Linked DNA regions of Oreochromis niloticus. The protein of the gene in region 2 interacts with the protein of the main gene of each other region in a pairwise test. Links are inferred from orthologs where the notes say so. Each region holds a gene or a part of one and is shown on either strand. Other genes may lie near its edges.

Region 1 (7,386 bases), on a different chromosome or scaffold from region 2:
TCTTTCTTTCTCTCCCAGCACTCCTTTCCCATCAGTCTGGCTCTTTCAGTCTTTCTGTCTGCTCCCATCCAACCACCAGACCGCTTCTTTGATCCTGACAGATGCCGCACCTTAGAAGGCCTATTCCTCTGTTTCCTATCCAAACCAGAACCTTTTAAAGTGGACTGCAGTCTGACGGTTACATTTGAGGTCATGCGTTTAACTTTCCTCCGCCTCCTGAGTGGACGTCCGGGGTTATTCTCATTGAAGGAGTCGGACTCTGGCCAGGAGGACTGCCTCGCCCTGACTGAGCCTCTCATGAGGGACGGCCATCGGGTGGATGCGGTCATATCGTCAGAGTCACTGCAGTTGGCCACAGAAGTAGTGATGTTCTCCCTGTATTCTTTAGCCTCGTCCAAGCTGGACTCGGATGCCTCGATCCAGCATCGCCTGTGCTCTATCGGGTAGAGGGTGGACTCGCGAAAACGCTTACGGCCTCTGCGACGGCGGATCTGACGGCGTTGCTCCAGAGGACTCAGGACCATTTCCTCCCACAGCTCTCCAAGCTTATTCTGTTCTGAGGTCTGCTCCAGTGCAGACACCAGGTCCTGCACCAGCTCATCCATCATGGTGCTGGGAAAAAAAGAAAATGTTAGTGACCAGTTAAACTCTTTGGATGTCTTGTCATGTTAAATTGCAGTTGTTAAGTGCAGGCTAGAGGTTTATATGAAACAATAGAAACGTCCAATGTACTTTGATGTGCTCCTCCTGAAGTCACTCTCATTTTTTGAAAATATACCCACAATGTGGGCTTTTCTAAATGATTATCACCATCTTCACTCGCTGGCCAGTTTATTAGGCACACATGTTAAACCTCTTGTTAATGCAAATATCTAATCAGCCAATCACACAGCAACAGTTCAGTGCATTTAGGCATGTAGATGTATTCCTGCTGAAGTTTAAACTGAGCATCAAATGGGACTGGTCCCAGTATTTCAGAAAGTGCTGATGTACTGGGATTTTCTCACAATGGGTTATGGGTGCCAGAATGGGTTATGATGCCAGAGGAGAATGGGTAGACTGACTTTGAGCTGATAAAAAAGCAACAGAAACTTTAAATAACTACTCATTACAACCAAGATATGTAGAAGAGCATCCCTGAATGAATCTGCAGAAACCACACTGGATGACACTGCTGTTAGCTAAGAACAGGATACCAAGACTACAGTTCATACAAGATCACCAAAACTGAAAAGTAGAAAATTTGAAAAATGTTATCTGGTCTCATGATTCCCCATTTTTCCTGCAACATTTGAAATCAAATCAAACATTTAGACCGCTGCTGGTGGTGTACAGGTGCAGAGGATTTTCTTGGCACACCTCAGCAGCTCAGTATTGTTTAAACACCACAGCACACCTGGGTATTGTTGCTGAACACATCCATCCCTTTCTGACCCACCAGTCTACCCACCCTCTAATGGCGACTTCCAGCAGGATATGCGCCACGTCCCAAAGCTCAAATCATCTCAAACAGGTTTCTTGAACATGACAATGACTTCACTGCACCCGGATCTTAATCCGCTAGAGCGCCTTTAAGATGTGCTGGAACAGGAGATTCACAACACAAAATCTACAGCATCTGCCTGATTCTGTCATGTCAAAATGCACCAAAGTTTTTGAGGAATATTTCCAACACCTTGGTGAACCTGTGCCATGAAAAATGAAGGCAGTTTTGAAAACAAAAGGGTGTCCAGTCCAGTACTACCAAGATGTTCCTAATAAAGTGGCCAGTGAGTGTGAATATTCAAGGTGTAAAGAAAACAACAAGTCAAACCATTCATTGAGAAAGTCTAATGGAAATAGTGTATTTGCAGGTTGTTACTTTGCTGGACTTGCCACTAAACGACATGCCATTGTTCCCTTTTAATTTCATATATTTCTACTCTTATAATTATGCAATCATTAGTGCTGCAGCGGGCATTCTGCTAGGACAGCTGGGGTCCACCTGTCCCTCTGCAAATCAATACAAAGTTGCTTTCTTTCTTTATGGGCGGGTTCTCTTATGGTTTGAGGAAGACATAAATAATGTGCTAAACCCCGCACAGTCGCAAGAGCATCATTAATTGCCTAATATGGAAGTATCTATTGAAAGGATGGTTTGTGGCTTCATTTGGAGAATGAGTTGCAAAGTGAAACTGCTCCGGAGGGACTTAATAATGCAGTTACACGTGTTTCTTGTAATTTGTTACCTGTTTGTGTATCAGCAGCATTATGAACTATACCTTCCCAACCATCTCAGCCATGATGACTGAGGTCCATTTCAGTAGACCCAAGTAGCCAAGTGGCAGTCATAATCCCATTTTTAAAGACATGGGACAAAAAACAAACAAACAAAGAAAAACACCACCTCCTCGCAACAATCACAAAGTAAATCTACAATAGCTTTAGCGCTATAAAACATCACTAGGTTGATTTCCCCCCCCTTTAAGTCTAGCAACATAAATTCGTGGTGGGCTCATCACCGGAATTGCTCCGTGTTTGATTGCAGCGGTGTAGAAAGCGCTGCATTTACGAGCATTTGCAGGTCATCATCGGCTTAAAAGAAAAGAAAAACGATTGACATCACGTTTTATTAGCAGTAAAGAAAAGCGACCGTGTAGCTGTGCAACATCAGTGCAGCACAACAACAGCTCAGGCTGGCTGTAGTATCCGCACGCTCAGCTCAGCCTGTGTTACATAACAACAGCTCACACGTGAGCTCAGCACAAGGACAGCCACACATCTCTGTGTCCACTGCTGACAACAAAACAAGCGGTTTACACGCGCTCAACACAACAGCCGCCTCACGGACACGGTGCGCGCGGATCTATTCGGATGCTATTTAACGCCAGGGAGAAGACATCCCTCTGCGTTTCGAGCACTCACCAGTCGCAGCTTGTCTTGTTTTGTTTTCAGCACAGCTGGGACACCAGACGCACTTCCGCCCTGCAGTCCAGCCAATCGGGTGGCTCCGCCTCGCTGTGACTCCTCCAAACAAAAAAAACAAAAAAACAGTGCGCCACTGCACAGTGCTGTCGAAATACAGCCTGCAAGGCAGATAACACCAGCGTCTGATCATTATGGCATCACTTCAGGAAACCGACGGAGTGCTGGTGTGGAAGATAATGTCAGTCAAATCTGACTTTGAAAATGTGCAAGTTTTCTTCCATCAGGGTTTACAAAAAGTTGTGGTGGTAGGAAAGGAGGACTGTAGGGGGACTGCATGCTGACGGTCACAAGGGACAATTAGAATGAGCTTATGCTTATTTAGTTAGTGAAGTACCTGAGAAAGTCCCATTCAGTTTAGATCATGTGTGTTTTTCATAGACTAAATGTAAAACTGCATCTTGTATGTTTTGTATATATTTAAAGAAATAGCTCTATGTTAACATCAGACCACCTCTCAGTGTTAGCAGGCTGTCTCACACAAACATACTCCACTCCTGTTTTGATGGGATTTGGTAACTTTAGCTGGATACCTTTGCTTCCACTGTGTAGAATTCAGAGGTTTTAGAAACTATGGATTGTTTTCTCTGCTAAACACTGCTAATGCACTGTTTTTCTATGCTGATCTAAAATGAAACTTAAAATTGTGCACCCGTGAGTTGGATATATAGTGCAAAAGTCTTAAGATACCCTTATTTCTATGTAGTTTCCTTGCAAGTAGCCAGACTTTCTTGTCATTTTTGAAGTGGTCTTAAACATTTGTTCTTCAAGCTTTCAGAAGTTCTGTCAAAGTTTTTCTTTGGACATTGGCTGATTTTTAACTTGTTACCAATCCAGTCATTGTACCACATCTGATAGTCTGATAGTATTTAATAGGTACATTGTTAAGAAACAGAGACAAATCCAGGAGAGACATGACACAGGACCTGAGAGATGCATCTGGCCCTGATTGGGAACAGCTTCATTTTGCAGTATGACAGTGATTCCAAACACACTTCCAATGCAGTAAAAGCATACGTGGATAGAAAAACACAGAATTACAACACCATCAGTCATGGATTGGCCTCCACAGAGACTGGACCTTAACATTATTGAAGCAGTGTGGGATCAAGGACAGAACAAAAGACAGCCAACATCCAAAGAAGAGCTTTGAATGTCCTTCAAGAAGCCTGGAGAACTATTCCTGAAGACTACCTAAAGAAATTACAAGAAAGCTGCCTAAGAGAGTTCAGACTATACTGAATAATAAAGGTGGTCATACCACATAGTGACTTTCAAGTTTAATAGAATTGTTCAAACTGTGTTTTTGCCTTATATACTGTATTTCCATTTATGCTTACACATTTTTCAATGAATCTCTTCACCCATTTCCCAAAATAAAGACACAAGGGATGGCTCATGACTTTTGCACAGCACTGTATAATATTAGCATTAACCAAAGTCAACTTCATTAGTGTGTTACCTAAATCTGAAGTCAGCAATGCAAATACACCAACGGTGAGAGCTGACTTTGAATGAGGAGAAATATTGGATCCAATAGTAAACCGGGAGAAAACCATTTTTCTTCCTATTTTTTCATCTCGAAAGGTGAAAAATCCTCCTAAAAAATGCCTGAAGGAGACTTTTTAAAGCATCCATCCATTTTCTTAACTGCTTGCCCAGCTTAGGTTTGCACTGGTGAGTGGGTAAGTGGGGGCGCTCAAGGCAGAAAGGCCCCAGCTGACGAAGAGGTTCAAACCAGGAATCTCCTTGCTGTTAGGTGACACTGCACCACTGTTCTGCTCTTTTCTCAAGCATATCTAACACTATGTGAAGGCTTCAGGTATTATTAGTAACAGGTTTGCACTGTGTTGTGAGTATGCAATTTACTCATTCTCTTTTTAAGACACTGTTGTGTTGGATTGCACTGTTAGACCTCACAGTGTATTGCAGGGCAGTATGTCATATAGCTGTTCAGTGGGAAATGATCTGTCACACAGCTTGAATAAAAGAAAAATCAAAGAGCTTTCTATTTGCTGCATGGCTGTTGTGGAATTGCACAAGCTTCTATAGCCGCTCCCAGCTGTGTTCATCCATAAAATGATTGCATACATAGAAACATGCATATGCTGTGCATGTATCAATGTTACATTTTGTCCAATTTCTTCAAACCAAAATCCCAAACCATGTTAAATTTGTAATTACTGTAGTTCCAGATGTCAGATTACAGTAATTCTGTTGCTGCCACACTTTTTAAAACAATAGTGGACTAATAAGTGTTTTATGATTGAAGCTCACTGTAATGATGTTTTCTCAATGCTAGTGTTGTTGCTGAATGAAGCAGAAAAAAAGTAATTTACCATTTCTTTCATCTATCAGATGAATGCAGCCCAAATAATAAAAAAGAAAAGTCAGTGAAAATGAGTACAAAAGCCATTTAATCGCTCTCATCTTCCTCTTAATAACTGCAAATTTCCCCTTGGGCCCATGGGAGAGGGCCTCTCTGTGCCGCTGCCACCTTATCTGTCGCCTCCATATTTCAGCATGCTGAGCGGCTCCCTCAGTACCCAGCCCCCGGCCTCCTCTCATTGGGCCTGTGGGGAAGCTGGGCTCCTGGGCCCGCCATTGTTCTGGCCTGGGAGGAAAGTCCGGAGAGAGCCCTGAAAGCTGGAGTGTGGGAATATTAAAAAAGAAAGAAAGGAAAAAAAAACTTTAGCCACTGCTTCATTAAGTGGCAGCCTTTCACAAGCAAACATATCAGAAACAGCCCCCTTTCAGAGGCAGTAATTAGCAATTTGGAAACCTTGCCCCCTCAGGATATACTGTTTCAATTTAGTCAGCAGCTTTGGATTCTTAGGCACTTAATATTCATTGTTTCTGCCTTCTTCCCAATTTCTCGACGTACATTGTCTAGTCTTTCACTGGCGATAAAGTGTTTTATCTGTTGTGTAATTCTTCTTTTGAATGAGCTCTCTGCAAGAGAAGTTAATTTTTATAAATAATTTTCTAAGGGATTTGCAGAGAATGTGAGGGATGCGATAGCAAAGTGCTCTTCACAAAGTGCCAAAGTGAATATCATATGGAGTTTGGAGGCTTCATTCAGTAAGTGTTGGAATAAATAAGGGGACGGGGAAAGTTCCTGCAATTTCCTCTGATGAAGTTACATCTTTAATGCGTCAACGCACGCGTTCATGAAAACAAAAAAAAACAGAAGTTTGCTACATCTGGACCCCAACTTTGACTCTGCGAGGAACAATGTGACACTAAAAGTACAGAATTATGAGCTGTTATTATTAATAAACTGCTCTGTGTTTGTATCAACCCTCTGCAAAGATTTAATAGCAAATGTTTTGCAAACTGCTTATTAAGCCAAACCACACATCACACCTCAGGGGTAGCAGACTGACACTTATCTTTGTCTCCGTGGAGCCTTTGTTTCAAAATGTTACCACTTCCATTCATTTTCAATCAGCATTGTCTAATAGAAATAATTGATTTTTTTTTTTTTTGCCTCTTCTTGGCAAATGAAAAACGCTTGTGATTAAACACTTTGTCTCCAAATCTAAATTCCAAGATCGCCATCAACACTTGAGAAAAATAGGCAACTCATTAAAGCAAAAAAAAAAAAGAAGAAAAAAGAAGTAGCTAAGATGTGAAAAGAGGAGACAGGGAATGAAATAATGAATGGAGTCCGAGCGAGCTATCTTTCCCAGGCAGAGCGCCACTAGGGATGCAAACTCTCAGCCACCAGAAATGAGCTACCTATCTGTGAAAAGAGTGACTGCTCCATCCTATTTGATTTGGCTCTCCTATCAACTCTTAAGAAGATGTCAGCCTTGCTTCTTCTATTGCTCTGAGCCTTTATCAACCCGGAGACGATTTCCCGGGGAAAAAAAAAAAAGAAAGAAAAAAAGAAAGAGGGGAAGAGTAAGTGGGGGGAGAGACACATTTCAGTGCCTTTCAGGGAGCAACACTAAAGAATAAGTGTTATGCGATAAAAAGGGGGTTGTTAAATAGATCTGTCTATTTGTATGGTAATAATGATCGCTTAAAGACTCGGGTCTCCGTGACTTGTAGAACAAGGAAACAAATCTGTATTCAGGTATTGTGTTAACATGACTCTCCCAACGACCTTGTGAAACTTTCATACAGTAAAAAATGAGTTGGATTTGAGTTTTTCCCCCCCTTCTGTTTGTATCATTCTTTTCTCTGTCCTTTTAGAGAAGGGGAGGGGTTACAGAGCTGAGCGCCAGCTCTTTACATTTTAAATCATCTTTGTCAGAGCCGTTTTAGACAGATGGGAATGATTTGAAGAGTTCTCTAACAGATCTGTCTCTCTTTAAAAAACTAATCCTACGAGGGTGTCTCTTAATATGTTTCGATCATTGTTATGTGGCATCTTTTTCATCGCTGAAAAATATTTAACTGCAAGTAAAAGCAGAC
Region 2 (7,504 bases):
AAGGAAGCACAAAGAGCCAAAGAAGCTGCTCGTATGGCTTCAGTTTATTGCAAATCAACAGTAACAAGCAGTGTTTTTGCATCTCAAGAAAACACTGAAAAATGTAAAGCTTTTGCAGCAAATGTACTTTAATCAGCCTTTAAGTAAAAAACAAAACTCTGAAAACAAAACAGAGAAGCTTAAGTGAGTTCATTTCATACTGTCAAATTTTATTTCCATATTAAACAGCAGACTGTTTAATGGGGATCTATCCTGCACATTTCCAGCATCGTGTTTTTAATTCATAAACTCTCAGAGCAGCTTTGCATGAGTCACAGTTCAAAATAATCTCTCTTTTTTTGATACCGGGTTTTCAGTTCATCCTGTCTGAAACGAGGCGTTTTAGCCTCTCTGAGTTTGAGCAGTCTTTCTTTCTGATTAGCTGGGTATTGGCTTCTGTGCCCAACATGACCATAGCAGGATATCATCTATGACACCATACAAATCAAAGAGTAGAAAAAAAGTGTTTATTTTCCTGATGAATTTGTCAATTTTTTCTCATAAATTTACCATTTCTTACTCTTATAAATTTGTTATTTCTTCTCAGGTTTACCAGCTTTTTTTCTCTTTAATTTGCAAAACTCAAAGCCTAAAGGCTCAGATCGATTCTTCTAACGATCTACCTCAGATGCCTCCGAACATCATGGTTCATAACGGCCTCGGCTCTCACCTTTGAGCTTCGACACCGTGGGCTCTTCAGATGAAAACTGCTCAGTTGTGGCTGCAGACCCAGCTCTCCTCACTGGGATGATCCTCCTAGAGAAATTCAGCTCAGTGTAAAACAGAAGCTGTTGTTTGCTCCGGCAGGGCACAACGAAATCAGTCAAGAAAATCCAGAGATGACGATCACACCTCAGCTTATGTGGTAACACCTCGTATATGTGACAGAACATAAAAAGCAGGAAGAACAGTTCTCTTTAAAGGAATAGTTCAACAGTTTTCTTTTTTTATTTTTTTGGGAGAGGGGGCATAACTGTGCTTTGTTTTCCTCACAGTGACAAGAACCATCAGTCTGTGTGCGTCAAGTATGAAGAGCTGTTGGCTCTTGAAACCAAACCGAAAGCTTTAAGAAGTCATTTAAGTGCAGCCCGAGCTCTAGAAAACAAAACGAAAAATAGAAAGATATGTGAATATTTGCGTCCTTCAGCTCAGCAGCAGATGAAACTTCTCCACTCCGCCTCACTCGATGCCTTTCAAACTGTGGTAGATGTGTTTCGGCAAAATCACGTATCCCTCACTGAAGCCCGGCTCCGGCGCCGACTGACGGGGCATCCTGGGTGATGCCTCCCGGGCGGCCTTCAGCCTCTTGAGCTGCCTCTCCTGCCGCCGACACTTCTGCTGCGTCGTCTTCAGCTTCTTCCTCAGATGTTCCACCTGCTCCTCCAGCAGCTCAATGCGCCTCTTCTGCTGCGCAGAGTCCTCTACCGTGTAGTTGTGGTCGCAGGAGACCGCCGTCGTCGTTGTGGTCGTTGTCATCGTGTCGCTGCAGGTGTCGAGCGGGTTACTCTCAGGCTCCTCCTCCTCCGCTGGTTCAGAGGTCAGAGGCAGAGAAAGCGGGAAGAGGTTCTCAGAGGGGAAGGGATCCTCCAGGGACTCTGACTGCTAGAGAGAAAAACACGAGTTAACTAGTCGCTAACTGACTGAAGCTGAAGTTAACCTGATCTACTTATCTAGCTTAGTTAACCTATCTGCTTAATTTGAGCTGTCTCTCAGATCTGTGCTCTTATTTTGAAATAAAGAAAACGTGACTGGAAACTCTTGGGAGACTCCTGGAAAAAAAAAGCCCTGCCTTAGTCAGGTCACCTTGATGCTGAGGTTGAAGGTGAACAGCGACGGCACAGCGCTCTCCTTCAGCACACGGTTGTTGCACTCCCTCTTGAAGGAGTCTTCGGTGAAGTGCTGGGAGCAGATGTTGCTGTACTTTGTTGGCTTGAAGTTGTTTCTCCTCATCGCAGCCACCCATTTACAGCAGATATCTGGACGCGCCAGAGGAAACCTGGTAAACAAGTGATAATAATACACAGAAGTAAATGTCATAACGGTTCTGTATGATTTGGGAATTATTTTCTGTTATCAGTTTTAATGTAATTAATTAGTTTAAGTTGCTTATGAAGTAAACTTTATGTCTTTGGTAAAAAATAAAACTAAAACAAACAAAACAAAAAAACCTGGAGCGTTAACCCTTTGTGTTACTTGTTTTGAGACTAAAGTTGGGGACTAAAGAAATGCGCATCAACTCCCGCCAGTAAGCATAAACACATTAATCCAAACTCCAGTTAAATTTGGAGGAATTTACTGTCCCCTTATTTACGGAAAGGCAAACATATTTAAGAATGTAACTCCAAGACTTTATAAGTAAATGTGTTCCGTGCTGATAGATTCGGCTTGTTAAAAAGCGAAACAGCTGTAAAGTTTTAGTAATATCTAAATTTGTGTGCCTCGGTATAGCCACTATAGAGAAACTTGTGACTTTAGACTTGATCAAAACATTTGATTTAATCAAATAAAAATAGCATCTGTTTACTTTTATGTAGCCGGATTTTAGCAGTGAAACCTGGAAACACGTAAAATGTCCCGTGTCCTACTCCACATGTTTCGTACTGTTGAGGAAGAGCAGTTAATCTTTAATGAGGCAGATTAGTGAACGCAGGCTGGTGGACGTTGCTCAACCACCATGTCAGGACTGCTAATGCTACCCAGCTCGCTGACACACACACAGACACACTGGCACTTAACTTACTTGTGGAATGAAATGTCTTTGTCTTTGTGGTAGCGGTTCTTACAGCCGTACGCTGAGCACGTCTGAACCATGGCTGAATATCCGGACAACACTCACTCACAGCCGGACCAGAACTCCACGAAGCTCCGCTTGTGCTTCTTGTCACCCTCCACACAAGCTTCACTGCCACTAACAATGATGGCGGCGAAGAATTAGTCACCTGACCGGCATCCCCGCCTCTAATTGGTGGAGCTTTCTGTCGTTACTTTCTTGTAATATCTCAGGAAGTCCAGTCTGTTATTTTTTTTTTTACGAGCCTTAATTTAAATACCAAATGTAAAATTTCAATCAAATCAAGTCTATTTTATTTAACTAACACATTTTGAAATAAAAGCTGACACAAAGTGCTAATCTCAATTATTTTCTGTTGAGTATAGAGTAAATGTGAAGGACTATAAAACATTAGAAAAGCACAATTTAAATACATTTTACCAAATTAAATATCAATTTTGTATTATAATTTTTCATTATTATTTTAACTGCTGTAACAAAAGAATTTCACAAATACAGGATAATGCATTTGTCCTCTTTCATTTATTATTCCAGAAATTACCATAAGACGTAATGTTTTATTTCATAGCTCAGCCCTGTAGATTCATGCATAATGTGTTAGATAAATAAAGACTTTCAACACATAATCTCTTAGTCAAAAAAGAAGAAACTTTATTATTAAAACAGGTGTTTTCAACACCGTGGGTTGGTCTAAAGAGCTTTATACAGCAACAAAAGACCAGGAATACACAGAAAACAGGTAAATACACAGCACTGATAAGTACCTATAATGTGTGTGTATTATCACTACACTGTATATCATACTGTGTCCTTATCTTGAAAGAAAAAAAGAGTCACAAGGCTCTCAAACAGTCTGTGGGTTCAACTTTAGCAGCTGGAAACTCAACTTAAAAACATTCAGAGTTTCTCACCAACTTTGACAGAGGCTGCTGAGGTTCAGAAACATGATGTGTTTTTTCCTATTATTACGACTGCACGTGAATGCACCTTTACAAACAGGAGAAGCGAGGATTTAAGAAGAAGGATGGAAAGAGAAATTTCTCATCATTTGTCCATTTTTGTTTTAGCACATGCCTGTGGCCTATTAGAAGACTTTACAAAGGAAGAAATAAATAGAAAAATACAAAATAGTTTTGGGATAATTCACCCACATTTCTATGTACAGGAAACCCCCACCAAAAAAAAGGAACCAGGTGGGATCATTTGATTTTTGCAAACAAAATTTACTGATGGAGAAATGTCCACAATCTCAGATCAAACATGGGCAAAAATCACACAAATTTTACTTTATTTTACACAGTTAGACTCTTATTTTGATAGTTCTGTCCATACTTCCTGTCAGTTGTATGAAATTCACTGCCACAGTCATCACGTTTCTTTAAACAATGCACAATCATATCAACAGGTCACCGGAGTGATCCAGTAGCTGTTGGATGACGGGTTAAAATCCTGGACAAGGACCATGTGCTATCTGTCAAAAAGCCCAAACAAGCCTTCTTTAAACAAGGAAACTAAAAATTAAAGGTCACGACTTTTCAACTGTCAGCTCTAAGAGAAATTGTAAGAAAAGAAAGGGGAAAAAAGTATTTTACACAACTTTTTTAATGCACCCCTACCATCATAAGGTGACGCCAAAAGCCTGTTTGATGACTATGACTAAGCACATTTTACTAATTACTTAGTGTTGAATTGTATGGCAAAAAGCTACCATAAAGTTGAGTGTAGCAGTCTTAAAATAGTAAATAAACACCAACAAGTGACCACCGCGAGGTACGGGCAACATGTCATCACAACCAGTCTTGGTCATTTGTTTGGTTTTAAACAGCTGCCACTGAATATCGCATAATACTTCTGATTTAAATGCAGTAAGTTCTGCCAAACTGATAATTGGCAGTTTTGCACACAAACATGATGATAAGCCCAATTGATTTCTGCATCAGAGGATGTATGTGAGATTTATCAAAGAATTCCAGATGTACCAGAAAGTAGCATAAGAACAACCTCATTGACTTCTTAAACCACAATGAGCTCATATATTTGGGCCTTTTAAACACTGGTAATCTAACAAAAACAGAGTGCCAACTTAAACATTCATGATGACACACCAAGTGATGACCCCTGGTAACTCCAGGAAGCCAGTGCTTAAATACCAAAACTGCAGTTCCTCTAATGTCCACTTGAGGATCCAAAAGCAAGTCAGTCTCCCCCAGACTCTCATGTTAAATGTCCAATTTTACAGCAGAAATAAACATGTTTTGCAGCCTGATACAAGAAAACCGTTTCACTCTGTCAAGTTTTTTCAACCTTCATAACAACTGCGCAACCATCACCTTGGCTAATTGGAGCTTTTTTAATGCAGACTTGAGTGGTTAAAAAAAGGGCAACGGGGACTTCTTTAGGTTTCTTTAGACTTTTCATTTTTCATCCAGGAGGCTTTTCCAGTTCAAATTATGAGAAATGGCGTGTGTCATTACCGTCACTGAGGCCAAAAGGTGGCACCTGTCTAAGACAAGTACTGTCAACTACTTTATTTTTAAGCACTCAAGACTACCATGACCTGCACAACTGATACAGGCATTTTTAATGCAGTTACTGACAAATAATTTGGTTTTCTCTGTGATTTATTATGGACAACCACTATACTGCAAGTGTACCAGGAAGTAAGTATAAGGATAGCAACAACGTATTATTATGTCAGCAAAGTGAACTTGCAGGAAAATCTTTCGAAAATCTTGTGTCATTCAACATTCAAAGGTATTTAGCTGACGGTGTAATAACAGAAACATAGAGACGGCTGGAGAGAACAGACGGACAAAACTATCAAAATATGTAAATATTTTTTCAAAAATAAAGCAACAGATTAAAAAGCTGCTGTACAAGAAAAAAAAAATCAATCGGTCTGCGAGGCCTTCACACTTAGAAAAGATCGTCAAACAATGAAACTCAACCTCAGCAAAAAAGAGTGAAAGAAAAAGAAGGAAAGTGCAACAGAAAGTCAGAGTGCTGTCGGTTACTGAATGTCTCTAAATACTCCAATACCCAGAATCCTCCGGGGTCGTGAAATCAGAGTTTTTAGCATATTCACAACACTGCCATCAAGAATTCACTAAAGACTCACAGCAGTGTCTTCTGGGAGATGCAGTCGGCTTCTGAAAGATCACACGCAGTCAGAATGCAACGATTACACTCAGTGATGTGATGTGGAAGCCCCGCCCACTAAGCGGCTCTTCCCTTTTGCAGGAAGGAAAGCAGCTTCTGTGCTCCACATCCAGGAAAGCTTTCGCTCTGGTTTTAGCTTCACCAGCTGATCTGCTGCCACAAATTTCATCAAGCTGAACTCAAGAACTGCTTACTGGCTTTTTGTTGGACTTGCAGGCAGAGCTGTGACTAAAACAACAGGAAATGAGCACATTTTTGTATTTTTTAAGGCTAAAGTAGCAAAACATCTGCCGGTTCAAATATGCAAAATATAACCCAGATGTGTGGCCCACATCTGCCTGTGACTCAGTGGCTGCCCAGGTCCACCATACATGTGCCAGCTGCCAGCTGTGTTGATGACCTCTGGGCCATATGTGGTGATTGCCAAATGCCAGAACTGAGCAACCAGAGGGCCAAACGTGGGCCAGAAAAAAGCTGATTTTTTTTTAGTTAAGAGAGAAAAAAAAAAAAAAAAAAAAAAAATCACATCTTATAAGAAAGCTAATTTCATGCGAGCAAAGTTAATATTGAATATGTACGTTGTTTTTTTTGTTGTTTTTTTTAAATCACGCGTTGCACACACCTCACAGCCAGCTGCATGTAGTGGCCTGTGTTTTACTGCAGGACTCGTTCTAATGAAAATAAGCTCATAATTTGTTATCTGATTGAAAATAAGTGCTGTTTTCTAAAAACACGTATTATGTGTTAATGATGTTTTTATTGTAAATTTGTCATATTTTTTCATGAAGTTCAAAATTTACAACTTTAAGTTTAAAACTTTTTTTTCCTGAATTTTACATCACACAACTAGGGCCTTTCATTTTTTTTCTTTCAATGGCCCGAATACAAACAAAATAAACTTTTCCACAGACAATTCAACACTTGCTCCTTTCACTGGTGGGCTGTGAGTTTCAGATGGACAGCTGCAGGAAGGCTGTGGCTACCACTCCCAGACAAAACCTGTTAGTGTTACAACAACGAACCAAAAAAAGCTAATAAATTATAATAAAGATGTTGCTCTGATCGTAAGTCACTCTGATAGTGCAGGCCACCTGGTTGAATCCATCTTAACCATTATATGGTTTTGCTTGTGATGTCATACAGGGCAGCAGTGCTTGGAGCCTCCAGCTGTTGGCGGATTAACATTGAAACATCTGCAGCATGTAAATAAAACTGAGCGCTCAGCAGATCAGCAAATGTTTATATTTTCAATCTGAAGCAAAAAAGTACCTCACATTGGGGTCAGAGACGCTGTCCACCTCCTCTTTTCTTCTTTTTGTTGCTTGTTACAAGTGTTCGTTGTCACAGCAACAACACATATAACCATTAGTCCTGTACAGATAAACAGCTGTACGTCATTTTGAAATGCGATTATGTCTCTCAGGCTTACTTCTCCTCCTCCTTCTTCTCTTCTTCCTCCTCCTTCTCTTTTCCTCCTTTGTCTCCCTCTGCTGCTTCTTTCTTTCTGTCCTCTTC
Region 3 (6,970 bases), on a different chromosome or scaffold from region 2:
GCTGATGACACACAGCAAGCGTTGCTATGAACACACAAGTGGAGTGTGGTGATGTCTAAGATTTGTCAACAATACACGTCTCTGAGGAGAGTCACTCAGCGGATGCTGATCTTCAATCAAGAGCAGGACAGGAAGTTGTATGGTAAATGGACTGGTTGTTATAAAGTGCTTTTCTATTCTATTTGAGCACTCAAAGGACTTTATACAGTGATGCTTGTGATGTTTATGATGTAGTAGAGAGCAAGTTCACAAAAACAGTTCAATATTTGTCAAAAAATGTCCAATATTCATAATTTTTCAAAATTTAATGCAACATATTTATGTGGGCAACAGACAAAACATTGTGCAAGTTACCAGGAAAGTATTTGTTTTCTTTTTACTCAGTAAGTATAAGCCTTTACAGACCAAGTGTGTTACGAATATTCAACATGAGATTCTGTGTTTAAATTCTGAATGTGAATTTGTCGTGTAATATATAAACACACACCAAGAAACTGATGTATAATCTTTCTATTCACCAAATTATCTTATACATGATCTACTTCTCTGACACACGTTTGCCTTGTAAAATTGAATAAAACTAAATAATTTTTAAAAAGTCCAGGTTGATTCACAATAAAGACAGCAACTTAATGATGTATACATATTTCATATAACCATGACGTAAAACCCATTTTATATATATGAAATTTTTCTGACTTAGTAGTAGGTGCACAACTAAGCATAAACTGGGCATTAATGTTATCTTTTTCTTTCCCTGTTTAATACAAACGTTATAAATAAATTACAATATAATAACTGGTCTTATTTCATTTGATTATTACTCTTTGGGAGGAAATTCTAAATTTTAATGATACATCTATAAATATACCAGTTAATCATTCAAAACCAGTGACTGTACTTATGCAGTGTATAACATTCAGTAACTGTTGTCTGCTTTATATTAACGTTAAACTCTTACAAAAGAGGAAATACTGTAAAGACTAAAAATCAGTCAGGATGACTGAAATCTAACTGATGGAATTACAAAATGCGCCATGAACCCAAATAAGCAGAACTCAAACAATATTAAACAACCTCTCTGATAACAATATGTTTTTCATATAATAAGTAGTATATAACCTTACACCGTTTAAAAAGGCAAAAAGACATAAAAATTTGCTAGAATATTCCAACAAGAGATTGGCCGCTGTCGTCATCGTACAGAGCATAACGCAAGGCGTACAATTTGCCACACGGGGCACACCGGTTGGTCGGAGCTTACGCCTTGAAGACAAGTACCACTACTTAAAAACGACAGGTGGCAAACACCGCCCGGTCGTGTTTTAACCGGCGAAGCCACACCAATTCTCGAGACTGTCATTACCGTTAATAAAACTATGAGCTCAGCTAACTTGCTTAGCTCGCCGGAGCTTCATAATCGGTCTTTGAAGGTGGTGTGCGCCTTATGAGTTAATTTCTAGATGGTTCCATGTTCACCATAGACAGGCTGAGAAATGTGTCACTAACTTACACGGAAAAGCAGTTCAATTTCCCAGCAATGAGCACAAATGATCGCTGAAAGCAGAGAAGCTGCGTTCACGTGTATTACAGCGATGCCGGTGAGACAACACTTATAAATGAAAACCTGTCCTCTGTAGCTATCCTTCACAAACTATAATAAGATTTTACTTGGTACTTACGGTGTACATCTGTCGCTGTACTCATTGGCGATTGTCTCGATTCCTCCAGCTCGGGCTACAGCTACATAGCAGCTTTGGAAGCCCAAGTCAAATCCCACCACTGACATCTTCAGCGATATGTGTCTCCTAGGTTTAGCTTTGTATACAGTATGATTTCTGTAAAGAAAATAAACCTGTAACTAGATTTTAAAACATAAAAAAGATGCTCCAGTCAAGTGAAGTTGTTAAGCTGCTCTGTCTTAAATACTTCTACTCATAATCCACACCGCTGATTGTTGCCGGTGTCTCTGATGTGTGCTGGCAGGCTGCAGCGGCAAGGTCTGCTTTACTAACGTCTCGCCCGCAGACATCGCGAGATTTACATGGTTCTAGAGCTCTCTGGACTTTTCCATATCCACGTGAAAGACTGTTCTCCAACAGTCGAGGTGTAGGGAGAAAACTCCATAAATTTCTTCTTATTTAATAAAAAAAATAACCTCTAAGTTTAAGGTTTACCGTGACAGTAACTGAAATCAACAAATGACTAGCTTGATGATTTCTGGGATCGAATCAGGGTGGGGAAACAAAAATAGACTGTGATGCAAAAAGTGATGAAGTCATTTTTTGTCCCCTTTTGTTTTTTTGTTTTTATTTCATTAGAAATAAAAAATGTAAATGGCCCAGCTCAGAACGAAGTCGTCGGGAAAATAAGAAAATATAATAACATTAAACAAATTAATTATAAATAACTAAAGCATAGCCATTTTAAAAGTTGTTGTTACTGAAAAAGATTCGTTTTTAAATACGTTCTCCTTTAATACTTAGTAAATTTCATGATATAAAATTACCAATCATTATAAATAATTAGTATAAAATAGTAGCTGACATAACACTTTTTTTGGTTTGGTTTGCAAAAACAAAATGTCATTTATTTAAGAATCTATGAAACAGAAAAGAGAGCTGATGACATGTAAACGCAGCTCTGACAAATCGTAAATGTGGGTGGGTGTGATGACACTTGACTGCTGAAAGTGTGCACTGTGTTGGTGACAGATAACTGAATGCTTAACCTCAGTAACTGTTTCCACAGAAAGTGGAAATAAGAAGCTGGGGAGAACTATGATAAACAGAATGTTTATATCCCATTATATGCTGATTGTAAACGTAACATTATTATGTGAGGCACATTTTTTCCTTTAATGTAGTATAAATGAATCACATGTATCACAGTACTGCACTAAAGTCTCATTTATTTATATTTTGTTTGAAACATAGGAAATCGATGCACCAAGATATTGAAAGATGTTCAAACCAAATGAAAATACAAGAAAAAACTGAGTTTGTGAGTTTGTACACATATTTGGATAATGCTTTTGCTGTATTGGCAGTGCGTTTGGTATCACTGTCATGCTTTCCAGACTATATTGCGTGGAGGATCAAACTCTGACTGTGCTTTTCTGCAGTCATAATTTATCAGTTTTAACAAGATCTCCAACACCATGAGATTTACATGATGGTGGAGATTCATGTCTGCGTTTTGTTTTACAGATTCTGCAGACACTCACAGTTGTACCTCTCTCCTGACCTCTTCTGCACAAACTGATGACGATTCAACTCATAAATTTCAAATTACTCTGATTTTCAGACCACTTTTTTTTTTCTAATTTAGCATACCTCAGGCTGTTTCCCATTCTTAAGAATGGCTTCTTGACACTCACTGAGACCATTTCGTCAAACAGTAGATGGATTACGAGAAGGGCCAGTGTCAGGTCTTTACTGGATTTTGTCCTGTTTCTTAAGGATGACTTTGAGATACTTCTCATCTGCAGAAGAGAGCTTTTTTTGTAATTGTCGATTACAATTTAACAATATACAATTTGAAATTGTGTGTTTAATTGTCTGATCTGTGTGGGCACCATACTCATTTATCCCTTAGATGGCTTTTTTATGCTTGAATAGGTCAGAGTTAAGTGTATTAAACAAAAACAAAACATTCCTCAGGAAATGGTTACATACAAAGACTGGACTGAAACAGGGAAAATAACAGTGAATGTCCAAAGGAAAACTTTGACAGAATTCAGGAAGCATGCAGAACTATTGCTCAAGACCACTTACAATAATGTCCTGTTTCTTAGAAGCAAAATATCAAGAATGATGAGGAGTTGCTCAAGAGTTTTGCACAGTATTATTAAAAAAAAAAAAAAAAAAAAAAAAAAAAAAAAAAAAAAAAAAAACCACTAGCCAAAACGTCAGGGCTGCTGTTAATTAAATTTTAATGATTATAAATACATGCAGTAGACCATCCTTACCCATAGGAGGCGATAACGGAGTTGATTGGACCGGAAATACGCGCTGATTTAACGCCAACAAAGAAGAAAAAGTAACCTGCAACATGGCGACTCCCATGCATAGATTAATAGCCAGGAGGCAAGCGTGAGTATGATACTATTAATCGACTGTATCGCTGTGGGTTTTGTATATTCGTGAGTACTACAGGCTGTTGAACAGCAGTGAGGTTCAGCTGCTCGAGCTCTGTGTCAGACTCAGGGGCCGGTGAACAGTGAGCGCAGCTCCAGTGCGCCAGTCTGTGCTCTACATCATTATTAGCTTGTTTATTCTTGTAGAGGGTGCCTGTTCAAGGCTGGTTGAGGCCGTGAATGCCACTGTTGTCACACTATCTGTTTCAGGAACGACAAATGAAATGTCGGGTGTCTGTCACGTTTCTGCGCTCACTTGTTTATAAAAGTCAGGCGGATTTTTGAGTCTGCCGCATTTTAGTGTCTGTGAGGAAATATTGAAAATATTTTTGCATTGAATTGCAACACAGGAATCTCCCGCTGATGCTCGTTTTTTCTCCTTTTCCCAGCCATTTATCACTGGTCTCGAGTTTGCACCTGAACTTATTCTGATACGTGAAAATGATTTCATCTCTTCTTGAGCAAGTAGAACTGCAGGGTGGTGCTTCTTTTCATTACCGTTTTTCTTTAATGAGCATTTAAATTCATAAGAATAGGAGGTCAGCCCATCTTCATATACTCTGCATATTTACTCACTGTAGAACAAGCACCTTTAAAGCACTGCTGAAGTTAAAACTTCCAACTTCTTCAGCAACTACAAAGCTGTACTTTTGTAAAGTTCATGAACATTTACAGTTGTGGTCATGGAAATTTGGGGCTTTTAATGATTTCTTTGATCTGTTCTTTCTCTAGGGTGGGATTACTGTACAGCGTACATCTTTAATGACGTTAAAAGAAAGCAAGAACAGGTTTAAATTTATTTTGGATTTTCTCTAATCCACATGGCATCAAAAGTGTATATATACAGGCTTAAATATCGCATACACCTCCACTAATATTTGGTTAAATGTTCTTTAGCAAGTTGCACCTCAACCAGATTCATTTGGTAGCCATCAACAAGCTACTGTCAGATTTTTGGCTGGATATTTGAGGACTCTACTTTGCAGAATTGTAAGAGTATATTTAAATTGGTTGGTTTCCTAGCACTGACCTGGTTTTTAATTTTCAATAGGGTTGTGGTCAGGGCCTTGGGAAGGCCATTCCAGAAGCTTGGACCCCCCCCCCCCCCCATTTAAAAAAACAAAGTTTTAATGTTTGCTCAGGATCATTATCCATTTGGAACATCTAATTGTGTCCAACTTCCAAATGTTTAGCTGTTGATTTGAGGGGAAGTTGAAGAATTTGGAAGTAGTCCTCCACTTTCATTATTCCATCAACTTTGTGCAATGTACAGGTAGCGCTTGCACGAAAACAGCCAGAGAGCAGGATGCTACCACCACCATGCTTGTTCTTAGGTTTAACAACCTCACCTTTACTCCTCCAAACATACATCTTGTGGTTGTGGCCAAATAGCACCAATTTTTTGTCTCGTTAGACCATAAAACCTTTCTCCAGAAGCCATTTGACTTGTCCATGTGGGAAGCAGCATATTTCAGTTGAGCTTGAAAGTGTTGATTTTGGAGCAGAGGCTTGATCAGCACCCTCTCAGTCTATGGCAATGTAAAACTAGCTTCACTGTGGACCGTGATGCTGATGTTCCAGCAGTTTCCAGTTCATCATCGGGATCGAGCGTTGGTGGTTCCTCAGTTGTTCCTGGGTGACACATTTGAATAAAATTTCTCCAATACAACTTCCCAGTTTGTGTAAAACTGGAATTCTCCTTCTTACTGTGGATCTTCAGTAAGTTCCTTGGGCTTTCCCAGTTCAATCCAGTAGGGCTGCACGATTTTGCATAAAATGAGAATCACGATTTTTTTTTTGCCTAGAATTGAGATCACGATTCTCTCACGATTTTCTTTTCCAATATAAATATTTATTGCACTTATTAACTGCACATCAACTTCGTAACAGTTGAAACTGAACATAAAAACAATAAATAAAAATAAAAACAATAAATGCCTCACATTTTGTGGTTGCCGCAAAATGTTGTACTGCTTGAAATTCTGTCTCCACCGTTGCTCGACACCGCGTGTATAGAGCAGGTAGTGCAACAATAGAAAAATAGTTGTGGGACGGCACTGTGTAGCGTTTGTCTAGGGTGTTGATCATTTTCCTAAATCCCTCGTTTTGCACAGTGTTGATATATCTTTGGTCAGGTGATAAGTAATAGCCTCCGTAATTTCTTTGAGCCTGCGGGAGTTCGACGTGTATAGGGAAGCGCTGTATAAGGTTCCCGTTATTGATGTTTGGGTGGTTGACCGGCACAAATTTTCTCCTGTTACTTTCTCGTCATCCCTGACGTGTTCTCCGTTGTTTTTTCCCTGCCAATTTGAGCATCACTGCACAGCTTCTGTATCACGTGGTATAAGGCTCCGCCCATGTCATTTGTTGAGCAGGAAGGGTGAGCGCTTGTTTTCATGCAGATTACGTCCTGGATCAAAATGCGGTACAATCGTCGTCCTTTTTTTTTTTTTTTTTTTTTTTTTTTTTTTAAATCGTTGTCATTTGGAAATGAGATCGCACATAAGTATGAATCGAGATCGCGATTTTCTAACGATTAATCGTGCAGCCCTACAATCCAGTGAGTGCTGTAAGCCAAATCCTTTTTATGCTGGCAAAGAGAAACTACCACTTGCAGTCAGTCATGATCACTAATGATAAGTTAATAGGCTTTGACCTTTCATGTTAAAAGACATTGTGAAACCTTCAATGCCACTTATTAAAATATTTAAGGGAGTGTATGTATATTATTTAAGCATGTATGCATACATTTGACACTTTGTGGGGATAGAGGGGAGAAAAAAAAGGAATCCAAGAAAGTCATTAAAAGTCCAAACTTACCATGACATTAAC
Region 4 (7,453 bases), on a different chromosome or scaffold from region 2:
CTGCATGCTTGCCGGTCCTCCTGCACGGCTTTGCGCATTATGTCACCGCAGAAAATCCCGTCCCGCCGCCTGCGTGCGAACGCATCTACCTCTGAGAGCCCATGTATGTTGCCGGAGCTGCGCTACAAGAAGCACAGATACCACACCTCCAGATCTCGACAAAACGGCTCAAAGCATCTCCAGATACTGTCAGCTGCATCCTTTCTCTCTCGTGCACACACGCACACATACACACACAGATAGATACATACACACACACAGCAGCAGCATTCCTCTCACCTTTTCAAAACCCCGAACACATTCGCGCACATTTTCACGGATGTCTGTTTCCATCAGCCAAATGCTGGGCGGCTCGTGCAGGAAAGAGGCATCCAAAGGGATAAAGCCGAAATCCGGAAGATCTCGATTCTCCTGCGGTCAGCTTCAGTATCCAGCGACTGACTGTGACTGACTGACTGCGGTCGGGCTGCTGTCGCCCCTCCCACAGCCTCTACCACCAGATTTCTTCCTCCGCTGCCCTTTAAAACAACTTAATTTAAAAATAAATATGCTACCAAGGACTCATGAAACGCTTAAATGGAAACAGCCATTACAAAAACCGGTTTACAGCAGACACTCCTCTGTGAATACCATTGTTAGTGTGTTAAGCTAGCTACTGATGATCACCTGACACAGCCACACCTCAGCCAAATAACTCTGGCTTTTCAGTGTGAATACATCAACACCGCCACCTCTCTTTAACAGTTTCGCTCTTACCTGCATAGCCAGCGTACAGCCATCGGAACTGTTGCGGAAAAGTGCGCACCTCCTGTGACTAAAGCTAAACATTAGCCTACCTAGCTACCTTCGAGTACTTACTTTACAGTTCGTGAGGATATGAACTAACACGGAGTTTGTGTTTCCTTGCTAATATTAAAGAGACGCCATTACATCAGTGTTTTATTGATGTTAACAAATAAGAAATACAAGTCGATGTTTAGTTATCGCACGACACGTATATACAAATGTAAAATAAATCGCATAATCGTGTTAATATTCGGATGAACAGCTTTATTATTTTTAACCTTGTGCAAATTTTGGTCGGCCAACAATAGGCGCGCTTCATTTGGTCGTGACTCCGTGTCGTTTACCGGTGCTAAGATAAACCCTGGCTTTGCTACTGTTTAACTTTTACTTTAGTCTATTTAACTTAGTTAACAAAAAAGATTGACGAGCATTATTTATTATGTAGTAAAAAAAAATCTAACAATCTAGCATCTCCAACAATTCAATAACCGAACGGAATAGGCATTCAGATACTTTGTGAGAGCAAAAGTACTAATACCGAAACCTATACAGATAATCCATGTGGTGTTCAAGTTTAATTAGACAATAATGATATTTATCAAGCTACGTTTAGCCCTGCTCAACTTCGTCTGCTCCAAGCAGGACCCAGGCAAACCTCCTCCTCCTCCTCAGCCTGTTATCCTCAGCTCAGCTCCCCTCTACACCTGACTCTGCTGTAAAAATGCAACATTTACCACTGAAATATAATTATTAGAAGAAATATAGTCTATAAATACAGTATTAGAAATATAGCATTAGAAGTAGTAAACAACAAAATAATAATAATAACAATAACAATAATAATAACAATAAAAATACATAGGAAGGGCTGCAGCTAAGGAAAAATAAATAGAGTGGGGATTTTGGCTCCATGGTGACTGGATTTATATATTCCTAACATCTAATTTGGTTGACATCTGTTTGTTTTTTTTCTTTTAATCCTACAGCCAGTTTTTTTCATTTCGTTTATTTTTTAATGAGGAAACAAATGTGACTTAAGCTTAAATAAATAAACAAATAGACAACATAGACATATATTTATTCCCCACATTTGTGTTTATGCTCTTTCTGTAGTCTTACATTTAAAGAATATCCTTAACTGACAAGAAACCTTTCGACCCTTCATTGCGAAATGTTTTCTGTTGTCGTTTTTAAGTGAATCCGGGATTTACCGGTGAGATTGCCGAGCGCATCCATGCGCCTTGTTGGGCTCACGTGACCAAATGGCAGCCAGCGCACACAGAAGGGCACGAGCTTAGTGAAAGTTTGGTTGTGTCCTCGAGCTCAGTCCTGTGCTGTTTAATGGTTTTTAGCGTGATTTGTTTTATTTAAGTCGCCGTTTTTAGTCGGTTACTAAAAATGGCCGCCAGGACAGCTGCAGCTGCGAGACGGTCGATATGGAGGAGCTTCTGTCCTTTCAGTCTCCGCTTATCTGCAGGTAGCAGTCGGCTGTGCAGCTCCAAACAGGCAACCCAGAAGGACAAGCCAGTAAAGGTTTGTATAATGACAATTTATTACATTTATACACGGTTTAAAGGGCTGCCATTTGATAGCTATAGACGGCTGTTGTTGTTGTTGACGATCACGTGTGGCGCCATTTTTTTATGCCCACATTAAAGACGTGTGTACGAAATAAGCTGATTTTTTTTTTTAAACGTTGCAGGAAATAAAGTGTTGTTCACAAAAATATATTGCAGTGCTTTAGACATTATTAGGGTTAAATCGGTGTTACGTCTGTTTTAATGATACAGTTGTAGTATAAATATTTGTAGGAAAATAATGGAGAACAATTTAAAATATTATGGTTTAAAGTTATATTTTAAGACCTAAAGTTTCCAGCAATACATCTTCTTAGATTTCATTTTTTAACCGTTTCAAAATTACATGCATTTGTTGGAGTTTGTGACTGCAGACGTTTAATAATAACTGTTTAATAATATAGTATTTCTTTAAAAATGTAAATACATCTACTTTACATATAAACGTGCATTGATATGCCTGTCAGTAATCAGACTGAATTTGCTGACACAATGTTTTGCATTTGGATTGTTTTACCTCTGTTTTCGTCTCTTAGCCCTGGAGCGTTTTTTATTCCTCGCTGCTCTTTCCGTCTTGAAGTCTGCTGGGTAATGATAAGCTGTCTGGTGTAGGTCACTTTTCATTTAAAGCCACGTGATGTGCATCTGCTGTGTGGAGTTTCAGTCTTTAGCAGACTGTCTTTAAACTTGACTTCCAGATGATAGCTGCCCGGTGCATTTCTCATCAGTGCGGATGTGGCTGCGTTGGTGATGCTAACTTTGCATGTGGAATTCAAACTACATGGTATTTGTGTCTGATGAGCTCATCGCTGTCATATGGGGTTTGCATAGGTGAAATTTGGGACATCTTCAGCCTTCTGACTGTTGTCACCTGCAATTCCACGCTCAACTTTTGTGTTAACACCCTGTATCTTTCCCACTAAGTTATTTTTGTGCGGACACTGTGCTGTCTGAACCCATCATTACAGTAGTTTCTTCTTCTTCTTTTACATAGAGATCTACATATAGACCAGAACCCAGCTCCACACATGACTGGGTCGGTCCACCAAACCCGCTCTCCAACCTACGGCCAATTATTTACCACATCCCGGACAATGAAACAGAGCTGGAGAAACGACTGAGAAACCTGAGGCAGGAGACAGAGGACTGGAACCACAACTTCTGGGCCAAGCAGAACATCACCTTCAGCAAGGTTACTGAAATACTTTTTACAAAGTGTTTTTCTGGGGTCAGGGACTGGCCTCTGAAAGCTAGTTTATCTATCAGAAGTCTCATTTGTAGGTGGGGTGAAAAGCCAGTCCATGTGGAGAGTAAGGTGGGTATTGTCTAAAAATAGGGAGCACAGTGTAGAGAGAGAGAGAAGCATGCATAGTGCTGCTTTTAACTCTTGAGATGGAAACTGACAAAGATACAGTGGGGAAATTAATTCGATCCCCTGCTTTATTTATACGTTTTCTCACGTTTTATGGTAGCTTCATTTTATGGAGACAGAATATCCCCAAATCCCAAAAACAAAACACTCAAGCTTTACCCTTGAGTTGCCAAGCTGCAGTTTCTGTAAAGAGGAGTGAGTCGACATCCCTCCTGAGATGTCGATATTTTCATAGAAAAATAGAAAGTTGTGGTAAAATTGGTTCTTTTAAGTCATCTGAGCACCTGACATGCAGTTTGGAAGAGAATAAAACTCATTTAAGGCTAGTTAGATCATCAGTTAAGACTTTGCTGGCTGTTCTGCCCTTCTGAAAATAAGCTGAAAGGTGGTGGGTGGTGTAAAGCAGGCATAGAAGCGGTTGTTGGTTCATTGTGGGGCAGGTGATTTCAGAGTATGAATAAGAGTGGGAAGTTGATGTGCTCCAAGAAAACCTTTAGCTACAGAGGAAGTGGAGTCTTTAGTCTTTGTAGAGAAACTGAAGGTTACTCCTAAATTAAATTCCTAAATTGCACATGAGGGATGAAGTGAAAGTGTGCATCCAGAAGAATTTGTTTGTGATGTTGTCCTGAGAATATCAAGATGATGTCTTCCAATTTATTACAGTTTAATATTTATTTATGATGATTCACATTGTCCTGCTACTGCTGCTATTTATTTCATATGCAGGTATGCCGTACTGCCGCTTAAAATCCAATTAAGCAAACTGATATTAGAAGAAAATTCATCTGTAGCTGTTACAAAACAAAACCGGGTGAGCGATCCCTGTCGGCTTGTTAGTTCACTTTTCTTAAAAATAAAATGGAAATTAAATTAAACACAAGATAAAGTCCACTAACTGCATTATCTTCCCTGCCAGCTTCCTACTTGCATTAGCATCATGCTGTCATTTCCATCATTATTAATGGAGACTGTAATAGCAGTGGATGTAATTAATCTCTGCGTGCTGAGCTCGTACGTGTGTAAAATCATTTCACCAGTAGAGGGGAGCATTGTACAACTAATGTGTTCTGTTAGGGCCCAGCTATGTAAGAGATTACAGTGAGGAAACAGTGAGGAAAACTGTAGGTTTTATGTGGACCCCAGTCCAAATCTGATTTAACGACCCTTTAATTAATTTTAAGAATGACCTCATTTAAAATTACAGTTAAAGCTTAAAAGGTTTGTTTGTTGTTTGTTTTTTTTACACTGTCTGCAGGAAAAAGAAGCTTTTATCATTTCACAACTGAAGGCAAAAGGCTTGACTCTGCGTGATGAGGACGGTGAGGACATGCAGCCTTTTCTGAATATTTCACATTGTTGGTTGGGTTTGCACTTAGGCAGTTTTTAACCAGCTCAGATGGGTGTACTATGAAGCAAGATTACTGGGTGAGTGATGTAAGTCGACCTTGATGTAAGTGAAGGTGGCTCCTTTATACCTGGCTAGATCACCATGGTAACTTATGCTGAACACATAACCTGGTTTGTACCAGTTTATTTTTAGAGTTTCGATTTAAAGTTTTCACAAATTCTTTTAGTTACAGTGTCTTGTAAACACAATATTGATTCTCTGCTGGATGAATACATATATTTGCAGTCTGTAGAGCTTAAGACTGCAGTTTATCATTAGATTTATTTGATTTTTATCACCAAGAAAACTTATTTGGACAATAAATGATTTTCACTCTGATCTTGTGAGAAACGAAAGTAATTCCCACGTCTCCTTTGTTAGGCTGTGTAGGCTGTGGGTGACTTGTCAGAGCTGAACACAGCGAGAGCACCGATGTGTGGCTCTGACATCAGAGATAAACATTGAAGCTAAGCTCTCAGCTCTTGTGATGATCAAATCACTAAATTAACAATTTTCTGCAGCATTACTCGTACTTTCAGCACCAGGGTTGCATTTTACTGCATTTATTTAACATTCTTAATAGATCTCTATCCCCCATTCATGTGATAATGTCTCTGATTGGGGTAGGTGGTGCTCAGCTGATCCATTCTGTGCTGTCTGAAGTGTCAAAAAACACATCAAACAGCCCTTTTTATGTGAGCACAGAAAGCCGGGGTTACCAGAGAGAGTTAATAACCACTGTTGTGATGCCTGCTATCTCTGACTGAGGTTTTTTGGTCAAGTCAGCCAACACAAAGAAACCCTGGCTTTGTCGAACTTGCTTCGTAGCCTGCTCCTCAGGAGGCACAGTAAACAGCAGTTTGTTTTTCTAACAGCTGGTGAATTGCAGGGGAGATGTATCCTAATGAGAATATAACACAGTCTGCTGTGTCTTCCCTCAGGACGACGGCGGTCCCTGAGCAGCGAAGAGATGGCCACGTTTTACAAAAACTTCCTGGACAAAAACAGAGTACGACATGCAAATTACAACAAGTGAGTTGTTTTGTCTCCCATGATGCCGCTGGGTGGGTAAGTGAGTGGGTGGGTGGGTGGGTGGTTGGGTTGGTACATGTCCCTCTGCAGCAGCTGTGAGCTTTAACTGCACTGTATCACCTCATCTGCAAAGAACAACAAACCTCACAGGCTATGAAGAAGTTTTGTGTGAATTAGCAATGCAAAGTGGCTGACTTGTCTTCATGTTGGCAAAGCTTTCCGCCCACACACATCACCTCAGTAGCATGCGTGGGATTTAATCTCTAACTTTTGATTGTTATATTTATTATTGTTTCAATTTAAACTCCGTCAAAGCACAAATGTTTCCCTTTTCTCCCTTCTGGTGTTATTGTGCATTTCCCTGTTTGAATCTTTATATCAGCACATTTATTACACTGTGCAAAGTGAAACATTCTGTTTTTTGTGTATCCAGGGAATGGTACAGACGTAACTTTACCATCACCTTGCTCATGGCTCGAGTCACCCTAAACAGTATGTGGAGGACAGTTACGGAAAGACAGAGCAGCAAGAAAAACGGCACTCCTACCAGCTGATAGCAAAGAAAATACACACACCCCCACCCTCCTGTCAAAATATCAAATGCCTTGGCTATATTTTTGTGCACTTCTGTTACTGCTTCATGTTTATTCAGGCTCTGCAAATGACTGTAAATTATTCTGGAAAAAATAAAACAAAGCAAAACATGTGAGGTATTTCTTTTTAATTAATTAATTAATAGTTTTCATCTTTTTTTAATAGTTAAAAGTGTGGATTGTTATGTCACGGTCTCTTTGGTCAAGAGGGTTTTTGGTTTTTTCTTGGGGCGGGGATTATAGATACATTATAAAGCAGATTTAACTGTTACGCCCAGTTTGTGTCAAAACAAAGACAACCTGTGATAACCAGTGAGATCGGTGCTGACCACCTACAATAAATACAAGAAATTAAAGTTTAAGAACTTTGTCAAAAACATATTAAAACTAATTATTTCATTTTTTAAATCAAGCAAAGAACAAACTGAAATCATGTTTAACTGGGGATTCTAAAAGGCCCATAGGCGTGAATGTGAGTGTAAATGGTTATCTGTCTCTGTATAAGACCTGGGACAGACAAGCTACCCATCCAGGATGTACCCCGCCTTTCGCCCTATGATAGCTGGGAAAGGCTCCAGCCTCCTGCAACCCCTAAACAGAAGATGGATGGATAGTTATTTTCCAGATTAATCATTTGGTGTAAATATTTTTTGAGAGCTGGAATGTAAATTTGTCTGTCTCTAAAGCACTTTGAGTTAACTGTATT

Evidence for each region.
Region 1: the proteins of thap1 (region 2) and G patch domain-containing protein 2-like interact in binary tests that used the Homo sapiens proteins (3 or more experiments, as listed by UniProt). The two-hybrid records come from large-scale screens. The link is inferred for Oreochromis niloticus from reciprocal best matches to the Homo sapiens genes THAP1 and GPATCH2L.
Region 3: the proteins of thap1 (region 2) and zcchc10 interact in binary tests that used the Homo sapiens proteins (3 or more experiments, as listed by UniProt). The two-hybrid records come from large-scale screens. The link is inferred for Oreochromis niloticus from reciprocal best matches to the Homo sapiens genes THAP1 and ZCCHC10.
Region 4: the proteins of thap1 (region 2) and bag5 interact in binary tests that used the Homo sapiens proteins (3 or more experiments, as listed by UniProt). The two-hybrid records come from large-scale screens. The link is inferred for Oreochromis niloticus from reciprocal best matches to the Homo sapiens genes THAP1 and BAG5.

What each region holds. Positions count from the first base shown.
Region 1 is NC_031983.2:10,367,195-10,374,580, forward strand, and holds the start of G patch domain-containing protein 2-like, read right to left. Parts: upstream 3,024-7,386; 5' UTR 2,905-3,023; intron 613-2,904; 5' UTR 609-612; coding exon 1-608.
Region 2 is NC_031972.2:34,363,343-34,370,846, reverse strand, and holds thap1 (THAP domain-containing protein 1), read right to left. Parts: upstream 3,025-7,504; 5' UTR 2,851-3,024; coding exon 2,780-2,850; intron 2,036-2,779; coding exon 1,843-2,035; coding exon of another isoform or gene 1,829-1,842; intron 1,642-1,828; coding exon 1,223-1,641; intron 1,135-1,222; coding exon 1,113-1,134; 3' UTR 189-1,112; downstream 1-188. Other genes in the region: uncharacterized protein LOC102080580, read right to left, coding at 7,415-7,504. UniProt on the Homo sapiens protein: DNA-binding transcription regulator that regulates endothelial cell proliferation and G1/S cell-cycle progression.
Region 3 is NC_031975.2:20,408,627-20,415,596, forward strand, and holds the start of zcchc10 (zinc finger CCHC domain-containing protein 10), read left to right. Parts: upstream 1-3,959; 5' UTR 3,960-4,053; coding exon 4,054-4,094; intron 4,095-6,970. Other genes in the region: hspa4a (heat shock 70 kDa protein 4a), read right to left, coding at 1,683-1,789.
Region 4 is NC_031983.2:6,396,771-6,404,223, reverse strand, and holds the start of bag5 (BAG family molecular chaperone regulator 5), read right to left. Parts: upstream 3,003-7,453; 5' UTR 2,988-3,002; coding exon 2,881-2,987; intron 2,320-2,880; coding exon of another isoform or gene 2,185-2,319; exon of another isoform or gene 1,981-2,184; intron 1,531-1,980; exon of another isoform or gene 780-1,530; coding exon of another isoform or gene 757-779; intron 530-756; exon of another isoform or gene 312-529; coding exon of another isoform or gene 280-311; intron 1-279. Other genes in the region: coa8 (cytochrome c oxidase assembly factor 8), read left to right, coding at 2,185-2,319, 3,358-3,555, 4,991-5,054, 6,064-6,154, 6,588-6,708. UniProt on the Homo sapiens protein: Co-chaperone for HSP/HSP70 proteins. It functions as a nucleotide-exchange factor promoting the release of ADP from HSP70, thereby activating HSP70-mediated protein refolding.